Cricetulus griseus: one gene and its partner. The main gene of each other region encodes a partner of the protein of the gene in region 2 in a complex. Links are inferred from orthologs where the notes say so. Each region holds a gene or a part of one and is shown on either strand. Other genes may lie near its edges.

The links.
Region 1: Pfdn2 (region 2) and Pdrg1 share a complex: the UniProt entries of both Homo sapiens proteins name them as parts of the PAQosome complex. The link is inferred for Cricetulus griseus from reciprocal best matches to the Homo sapiens genes PFDN2 and PDRG1.

What each region holds. Positions count from the first base shown.
Region 1 is NC_048599.1:26,995,192-26,999,446, reverse strand, and holds the start of Pdrg1 (p53 and DNA damage-regulated protein 1), read right to left. Parts: upstream 2,907-4,255; 5' UTR 2,817-2,906; coding exon 2,730-2,816; intron 1,300-2,729; coding exon 1,224-1,299; intron 243-1,223; coding exon 168-242; intron 1-167. UniProt on the Homo sapiens protein: May play a role in chaperone-mediated protein folding.
Region 2 is NC_048598.1:21,547,651-21,552,250, forward strand, and holds the start of Pfdn2 (prefoldin subunit 2), read right to left. Parts: upstream 3,003-4,600; 5' UTR 2,948-3,002; coding exon 2,873-2,947; intron 1-2,872. Other genes in the region: Nit1 (deaminated glutathione amidase), read left to right, coding at 3,443-3,444, 3,657-3,752, 4,123-4,380, 4,488-4,591. UniProt on the Homo sapiens protein: Binds specifically to cytosolic chaperonin (c-CPN) and transfers target proteins to it. Binds to nascent polypeptide chain and promotes folding in an environment in which there are many competing pathways for nonnative proteins.

The DNA of each region.
Region 1 (4,255 bases), on a different chromosome or scaffold from region 2:
AGCTTCACAACTGTGCTGTGTAGATGCCCCACTCACACATGAGGAAGGCCCACTGTGGCAGAGCAGGAACCAAAACCACATCGACTCTACAGTACAGCTGCCTCTCAATTCTGGATAATGACTGGTAGGGAAGTGACCATGTCCTTGAACATTCCAGGAGACCTTACCTTTCTGGATCATTTCCTTTGTCTTAGGGTGAGGCATTTTGATGAACATGTTCCCAAAGCAAACCATCACATCTTCTGAAATAGCAAACAGACATTACTTCAACACGTTTTATTTCTTCTTTTTGAAGCACTGACTATCTGCCAAGCACTGTTTGGATGCTAAGAACATAGCCCAACAAGACAAGTTCTTGCCCTTGTGGAATTCATAACAAAGCAAAAGACAGTAAATAAACAAGTTGTTTTTCCACATAGTGCTAAGTGATGGGAAGCATCAGGAGAGGTACAAGGGCTCTTTGCAGATGTGACATCCAGGCAGAGAACTGAGGAAAGGGGGGGGTATCTTCCCTAGACACCTGGGCAGAGCCCAGGCAGAGGGATGGCAACAGCCAGAACTGGCAGTGTTTTGGTGTCAGAACAACCAAGAGACCAGTGGGTCAATGAGTGGGTGAGAAAGTGGGGGCTAACATGGTGGAGTGTGTGGGGCGGGGTCATGTGGAATCAATCCTGCAGGACAACTCTGGGTTTTACTCCGGTGAGATAAGCAGCCAGTGGAATGGACGTCAGTGCCCTTCATTATGCCCTGAATGCTGCCCATCCTTCCAGAACTGCTTCAGGTTGTCCCCCACTTGCTCACACTGCCAAAGTCACAGCCACCTGGCTCATCTAAAGAGCCCCATCTCCTCCCTCCTAGACAGTCTCAACATCCACTCATGGCCAACTCCATCTTTAGCTTTCCACAATTTTCAGTTGTATGTTTACACTGCTTTTCCTCATGTGGAACATAAGGGCAGATCTATTATTGCTTCTAAGTGCTGTGTGCCATTGATGAGTGATAAGCTAATGGCCTGTCACTGAAGTGAGCAGCTCAGATCCTGAATCACAGCATATGTCTGACCTGCAACGTTTGCCCGCTCTTCCCCACAAGCTGTTTTCGTTTCCTGTGAGGCTGAGTCACACAGTCCCAGCCTCCTGCCTGCTCTCTAGCAGGGACAACAAAGGCCTTCACAGGAGAACTGCATCAGTTTCCAGGGCTTCAGTGAGGATGTTACAACTTACCAGAGACGCTCAGGTCCTTCTGTAGGGCCCTCAGGCCCTCTCGGTTCTGATTCCTCTTGGTATCCAGGTCTACAATCTGAAAACAGAAGCAGATAGGAACTCAGCTGCCTCCCGCCCCAACCTGAAGAGACAAGGAATCCTTCCTGGCTGGAGGCCAATGTCTTGGTTAACATGGACTGAAGCATGAGCGTGTTTCTTTACCCACTCAGTTGCCAGCCCCTCGGCCTGTACAGGAGCCTCCTTCCTCCAGAGCAGGTGCTAGGAAAAAGTTTACCAATTAGGAATCATTTGCACAGCCCAATTCAAACCTGAGCATGTACCAGGGTCATCAGAGAGTTTAGTGTCTCCCCTGGGCAGTTATTGTTGACAGGCTATTGTAGGAAAATCTAACAGTCTCCCCAGACATGGACGTACACCACCATGACAGCTACTCAGGCAATGACTCTGGGGCTGGAGTCCACAGGAATCCTGCTGCTTGTGAACCACAGAGGCCTTCTCACTATAGACCACAGGAGTAACTATGGCAGCTTTTGGAGACCATTTCCAAAGTATATTTCTCACCCCATCACTAACATCTGGTCCAAATCCAGATCTGGATAACTAAATTCGTGGTTCTCAGCCTGTGGGTCTTGACCCTTGGAGTCGAACAACCCTTTCACAGGAGTCACCCAAGATCACTGCAAAACATTGCAATTCATAACAGCAGCAAAATTACAACTATGGTTCCGGGAGGTGGTGGCACATGCCTTTAATCCCAGCACTCAGGAGGCAGAGGCAGGCGGATCTCTGGTGAGTTTGAGGCCAACCTGGTTTACAAAGCTACAAAGAGAAACCCTGTCTCCCCCCCCCAAAAAAAATTACAACTATGAAGTAGCAACGAAAATTACTTTATTGGGGGGGGTACCCATAACATGAACTGTATTAAAGGGTTGCAGCATTAGAAGGTTGAGAACCACTGATCTCAATGGTTCTTTGCACACTAGTTAGCAGCTAGAGAAGACTTTTAAAACCTAAGTCCCGTGCATGCACGCCTATAATCCCAGAACTCAGGAGGGCGGACAAACACGGACTGTTCAAGGCTATCCGAGATTACACAGTGAGTTCGAGGCCAGCCCCAAGACACATGAGTCCCTCTAAAGTTTAGAGTCTAAACCAACCTATCAATCAATCAAAATCCAAAGATAACATTCTCAGCACTCAGAACTCCCTTTGGAGACTCACCACTTAATCATAGATCCAGAGCCAAGCTCCCCTTTCGGGTCTACGAGGCCCTCCAGCCTCCCCCGCCCCACTCCACGTCACCCTACCGTCCAGCCAAATGCCGCTCGGGTCTCAGCAACCTGACTCACGATGGGGGTCGGGGAAGCCGCATGCAGAGGGTAAGGTTCCGGGGGGCCCGCAGGGACAGGGTCAAAGGGAGGCTACTGCCCAGCGCAGAGGAGGCGCTCGCTCCGGAACCCCGCGCGCTTGCCTGCTTACGAAGCTAGCCGCCGCCGCGTCTCTCACCTGCCGCTTGTCCGACAGCACCGCCTCGGCCAGCTCCTCCACTTCGACCAGGTACCGCATCACCCGCTCCGCTTCAGGGGACAGCATGGCGACACACAGCTCTCAAGACACCTTCGGCACCGCTTCAACGCCCCTTCTGCTCTATCCACGCACGCGCCGCGCTGAGGACTTCCGGCGCGCCTGCGCAGTGAAAAAAAAAGGGCCCTTAGAGGGGTGGCGCATGCGCATCAGCGGGGCGCCGGAGGGGCGGGTCTAGCTTTGGGAGCGGGACAGGAGCGCCCCCTTCAGTCTCTGAGGGAGCAGCCCAGTGCGCTGCCTTCTTTGCTCTCCCTTCAAAGGGTTGTTGAGCATCCACCGTGTACCACGTTGGATGGAGCAAGGAGTAAAACATCCCGACTTTAGAAATGTCGTCCCAGTAGGAAACAACGAACACTGATGGGAAAATAGTTACATATTATGGGTGGTAGAGTTAAGAGCTTTGGAGACACAGAAATCCTAAGTCCTGTTTAACGACGCCGAGAAACCGAGTGTGGCAGGGAGACTTATATTTAACCGGTGATACTTTCAGCTTCTGGTTTGTAAATAATGGGTGATAAAAATTACCCCCCCACACACACACACACACTCTCTCTCTCTCCTGAAGATGAAAAGGAAACAGTAATCATTTTAAATCTCGTCTGGCTGCTGCGTTTGTTGAATCCAGTGTCCTCAGTAGCAAGCTGAGACCCACACAGAAGGAGCTGGAAATTGTCCAGGGTGAGCAGTGAAGTGTCAGTAAGAGTACAGTTGCAAAGCTGGGGGCTCAGAGGCGAGGCCTGGGAGTTTTTGCCTCGCCGATGCCATTTTGCTTATCTGTGTATATAACTGGAATTAACCCAGTGCCTCTCACACGCTCAGCTCTGCCACTGAGCTGTATGCCATTTGTGTGGGTGTATGTGCTGTGTGTGTGTGGGGGTGTGTGTGTGTGGTGCATGCATGTAAGTGTGGGGGCACCTGTGTCCATGCAGACACATGCAGAGGCCAGAGTAGGGTGTCAGCTGCTTTCCTGTCTTTCTCCACCTTCCTGCCTTGAAATAGAACCTCTCACTGAACCAGAAGTTCGCTTTTGGGCTAGGCTGGCTAGCCAGTGAGCTCTGTGTATGTACCCAATGCTGAGGTAACAGTCCCACACAACCGTGTCTGGATTTTTATTTATGTGGGTGCTTGGGATTCGAACCCAGGGCCTCATTCTTTCAGAGTGAACACATACTCACTGAGCCCTAAGGCCCAGATCGGATGTTCACTTTTTAGTCTCCTTTATTGACTTCTGGCGACTTAGGTCCTTAATACACTGGCTCACTTGATTTTCATGGCCTCTTTTGTATAAATAGGGTCATTACTGTTAAGTTTTATAGCTGCAGGCTTAGGCTGGGAGCAGGATAGGTCAGACACAGATCTGGGGGTGGGGGCCCTGGGCTCCACCGCACAGCTGCCTTTGGACATTCTCAAACTGGGGCTCACTGAAGCCCAGAAGCGCCTCCTCTTTG
Region 2 (4,600 bases):
GTACTATTGTTTACCAAACTATTCTCCCCAAGATCTTGAATAGCCTTCTCTGTAACTGCATAATCCAACTGTCTTTTGTCAAGGCTCAATCTGCCTTCAGTCCCAGCACTCAGAATGTCAGGCAGCTACCAGCTCCCTAATAGTACAGCAATCGTCAATGTACACTGTCTGCCTGGGAAAGAGCATGAAGCATGGTCTGAGCCCAACAAACCCATAGATGTGGAGCTGCCCAGCATTTTAGAGGCCCAATCCCTGCCCCAGGGTTTCCAAATGGCACATGGAGAAAAATTGTTATAGAATTGTAAGACAATGCCTGCTCTCTTGGAATCAGACTTAAGGCTTGTTTTACACACACACACACACACACACACACACACCCACCCACCCACCCACCCACCCCCACCTACCTTTCTGGCCTACTTCTCTCTTTGCCTGCCTCTGCATTACATGCTGGAAGGAGATGAGCTACTTTTCCCTGCACAAACGACCCTGGAATCTTGAGTTAGTACTGGAACAAATTAAGACTCTGGGGACTATTGGGGCAGAATAATCGTATTTTGCATTGTAAGGGCACAAGTTTTGGGACTAAGGGGTATAAAGCTATGTTTTAGTAGGGTTTGTCCTCTCCAAAACACACATTGAACTTTGACTGTCAAGTGACAGGGATTTTTCTTATCTTTTTGAGACAGAATCTCATGTAACCCACACTCAAATTTACTTTGAGTAGATGAACTTGAACTCCTAATTCTCTTGCCTCTACATCTCTCTCAAATACAGGGACTGGTCTACAGAGCTAGTTCCAGGACAGCCAGGGCTACACAAAGAAACTATGTCCTGAAACAAAATAACAAAAACAAACAAAAAAACTGTTTAGATTATGTGCATGTTTGTGTGTCTGTGTGATAGCATGTGCACTCAAGTGGAGTTGCCTTGGAGGCCAGAACAGGGCGTTGGATTCCCTTGAGCCAAGGTGATGGGGAATTGTGAGACAAGCAACATGGATGGGTGCTGGGAATCAAACTTGGGCCTCTGCAAAAGCCATCTCAAGGGGCCTTTACCAGCATTTATTTGTTTGTTTGTTTGTTTTCTTCAAAACAGGATTTCTCTGTATAGTCTTGGCTGTCCTGAAACTAAACTAGCTCTGCAGACCAAGCTGGCCTTGAACTCAAGAGATCCTCCTGCCTCTGCCTCCCAAGTGCTAAGACAAAATGGTGCACCACCATCACCAAGCCCATAAAATAATTTTTTTTAAAACTCTCATTGTTTTATTTGTCTTTCTGTCATGTTTGTTTTTACAACTGTTTCACTCTGTAGCCCAGGCTTAGCCTGGAATGGACATGGTAATCCAGCCGGATTACAGGTATGAGCCATCACACTCGGCTGTCTTGTATTTCTAGGGATCTTTGACCAAGTTGAAGATAAGGTCTGTTTCATTTACCAGTTTCTCTGTGTTCAGCAGAGCCTAACACAAGACAGACCCTCAATAAAAGTATTAGCCACTATATTGGAGGCTACCTCCAAATTTCAATGCATTTTACTTCTCTTAGAACACTTATTTTCTGCCTCGAAGTAGAATTATGAAAATCCCCCTTTTGTCCCAATAGATATGCTCTTTGATAGGGCAGGTTTTAAACTCTTTATTCGGCTACCTTTACCTGACTGTACTGAGTGTTCAACAATTAATTAACACCCTCCCATGTCCTACACTTCAGGGCTCTCCCATTTGGCCCACTAAGCTATATCCCTAGCCTCAATTCTTTTCATTTCAATTGTGTGGTTTTTTTTTCCTTCTACTATCGATTAAATACTAGTCCCACGATTAACAAGGCACGGTTCTCATACCACAAAGGGCTTTCTGATTAGTCAGACATATCCCGATGTATTGGGGTGGGGGCAAACTTAGATTAGAAAAGGGTTTCCGGTCTCTTCTAAAAAGTCAATCTCCACTCCGAGAACACAGTGAGCGAGTTCGAGGCCAACCTGGGCTACTTAGTGAGATCATGTCTCAAAAGACCAAACAATCCTGGCCCGGCTTAGTGACACAGGCTATTAATCTCAGAATTCGAGAGGCAGGAGCAGGGACAAGCGGATCTCTTGAGTTCCAGGCCAGCCTGGTCTACACTGTGTATTTCAGAAAAGTCAAGACTGCATAGAGCGACCCCGTCGCAACTTCCACCCCCGACCCCAAGGCCAACCAACCATCAAACAAACCAAACTAAACCACAAAGCCAATCTACTAAAGACTCCTTAGTTAAAATAGTTACAGAAGGCCGGGCGTTGGTGGCTCACACCTTTAATCCCAGCACTCGGGAGGCAGAGGCAGGCGGATCTCTGTGAGTTCGAGGCCAGACTGGTCTCCAGAGCGAGTGCCAGGATAGGCTCCAAAGCTACAGAGAAACCCTGTCCCGAAAAACCAGAAAAAAAATAGTTACAGAAGACTGAAGCGGTCGAGTCTGAGTCACGTGGTTTTGCAGCGCGTGGGCGATGGTGAGCGCGGTTTTAGAGTCACAGACTAAACAATTCCCCGACTAATAACCTCTGGGGTTCGTTACTAGATGCAACGCCGAAGCAGGCCCGCCTCCCAGTAGCTCGGAGACGGGGGAAACGACGACCCCATCACCTTGGGGCCCTGGACACCCTCCCAGCTCCCGCAGCTCAGGGCTTTCCCACTGGGCTCCCGCTGCAGCCTGCGGACGTGGCTCTCCTCTGCACACCCACCTCCGCATGCCCTAGCAGGGGTCGTGATCGCCTCCCTCCGCGAGTGCGACACGGAGAACGTGGAAAGGGCTGAGGGCCGGTACAAGCCACAGACCCCGTTTCCTGCACGAACTCGACACCGGCCGAGCTGCCCTCGGCGCTCGCGGATGCTCACCTGTTCGGCCGACACCGCCCCCTTCCCGGTGCTGCTCCCGCTGCTCTTGCTCACACGACCGCTGCTGTCCGCCATCTTCGCCACCTGCGAGCTTTCCGGCCTGCGCACTCCCACTGCGTCACATCCGGTCTGGTAGTTACCACCCACTTGCCCCTGCGCTTCTGGCTCCAGGAAGCTCCTCTGGTCGACCCTGCGAATGGTTTTGGCGGTGGCTTCATGTAGGACCTACTCCCCAACCCTGCCCGCTGCGGTGAATTCCACCTACGGTGCTTTAACTTGTGCAACAGAGATTCTTGCCCCAGGGAGAGGCGGGGAAGGGCGCGCTAATCAGAGGGCGGGGTCCAGGGTTGGGATCTGGTCCGGAGCCCCCTGCCCACCTCGAGATGGTGGCGATCTAGGGAGAGTGAACTTGCCTTTCGAGATACTGCTGTAAGGGGAGAGATACGCGTTGAGCCTATAAAGCTGTGCAGGTGGCACAGCCGAGAAGAGAGAATTGGGGAAGCGAGGAAGGTTCCATGAGATGACTTGAACCGCGGAAACGTTTGGCAGAGGAAAGGGGCTTCAGTTTTAATGTGAGATCACTGGAAGTTGAGGTATTGAGGCTCGGATCAGTCTCCTCTCCCATGTTTCCCTTTTACGACCTCTTTCCACAGCTAATCGTGTGGGGGGATGTTTTTGAAGCCTTGGGGGAGGGGATTACTGGCCAGGCCTGGAAATGACAGAGAATTCTAGAAACATACTACTTGAAGGAAGGTTAGGTGTCCTGATTTTTCACCCTCTTCAGGCTGGGCTTCATCACCAGGCCTCCTCGCCAACTCCTGTCCCTTTTGTGTACCGGAAACAGATTGCCTCGAATCTCGGTACTTTGTACTCAGCCCAGGTAACATATTTTCTTGTTCTCTGCCTGGCACATTGCCGCTCAATCCGTGTTTATAACTGCAGTGTGGGGAGACAAAGTTGTCTGCCACCCACCAAACATTTAATAAGTGAACACCAGTAGCTCTGGGGTTATTATGCTCTGAAAGAATGGAAAGAAGTCACTAGGGATGGTGGGACACACCTGTAATCTCAGCACTTGGGAAGCAGGCAGCAGTTTAAGGTCATCCTCAGCTACATAACAAGACCTGGCTGGGCTACAAAACACCCTGTCTCAAAAAAGAAAAACATCTAGGTCTGTGGCCCCATCCCACTTGAGCCTCTGGGTTTCTCCGTGCTAGCAAATCTGAGAACACTGCCCGTGCTATTCACAGGCCCAGAGCTATGGAGGTGTCCTCCTCAACTTCCTGGGAGCTGCCCCTGGTGGCTGTGTGCCAGGTAACATCAACACCAAACAAGCAAGAGAACTTTAAAACATGTGCTGAGCTGGTTCTAGAGGCGGCCAGACTGGGTGCTTGCCTGGCTTTTCTGCCTGAGGCATTTGACTTCATTGCACGAAATCCTGCCGAGACATTACAGCTGTCTGAACCACTGGATGGGGACCTTCTGGGACGATATAGCCAGCTTGCCAGGTACAAGGGTGGGAGGGAAGTAGAATCATTACCGGGTATTGTTCCTGGATTGCCACATAAAGGGGGTAGCGCCTTGAGTAGAGTTGTCAGTGTCCCTTCTCCCCCAGGGAATGTGGAATCTGGCTGTCCTTGGGTGGTTTCCATGAGCGTGGCCAAGACTGGGAGCAGACTCAGAAAATCTACAATTGTCATGTGCTTCTGAACAACAAGGGTGAGACTT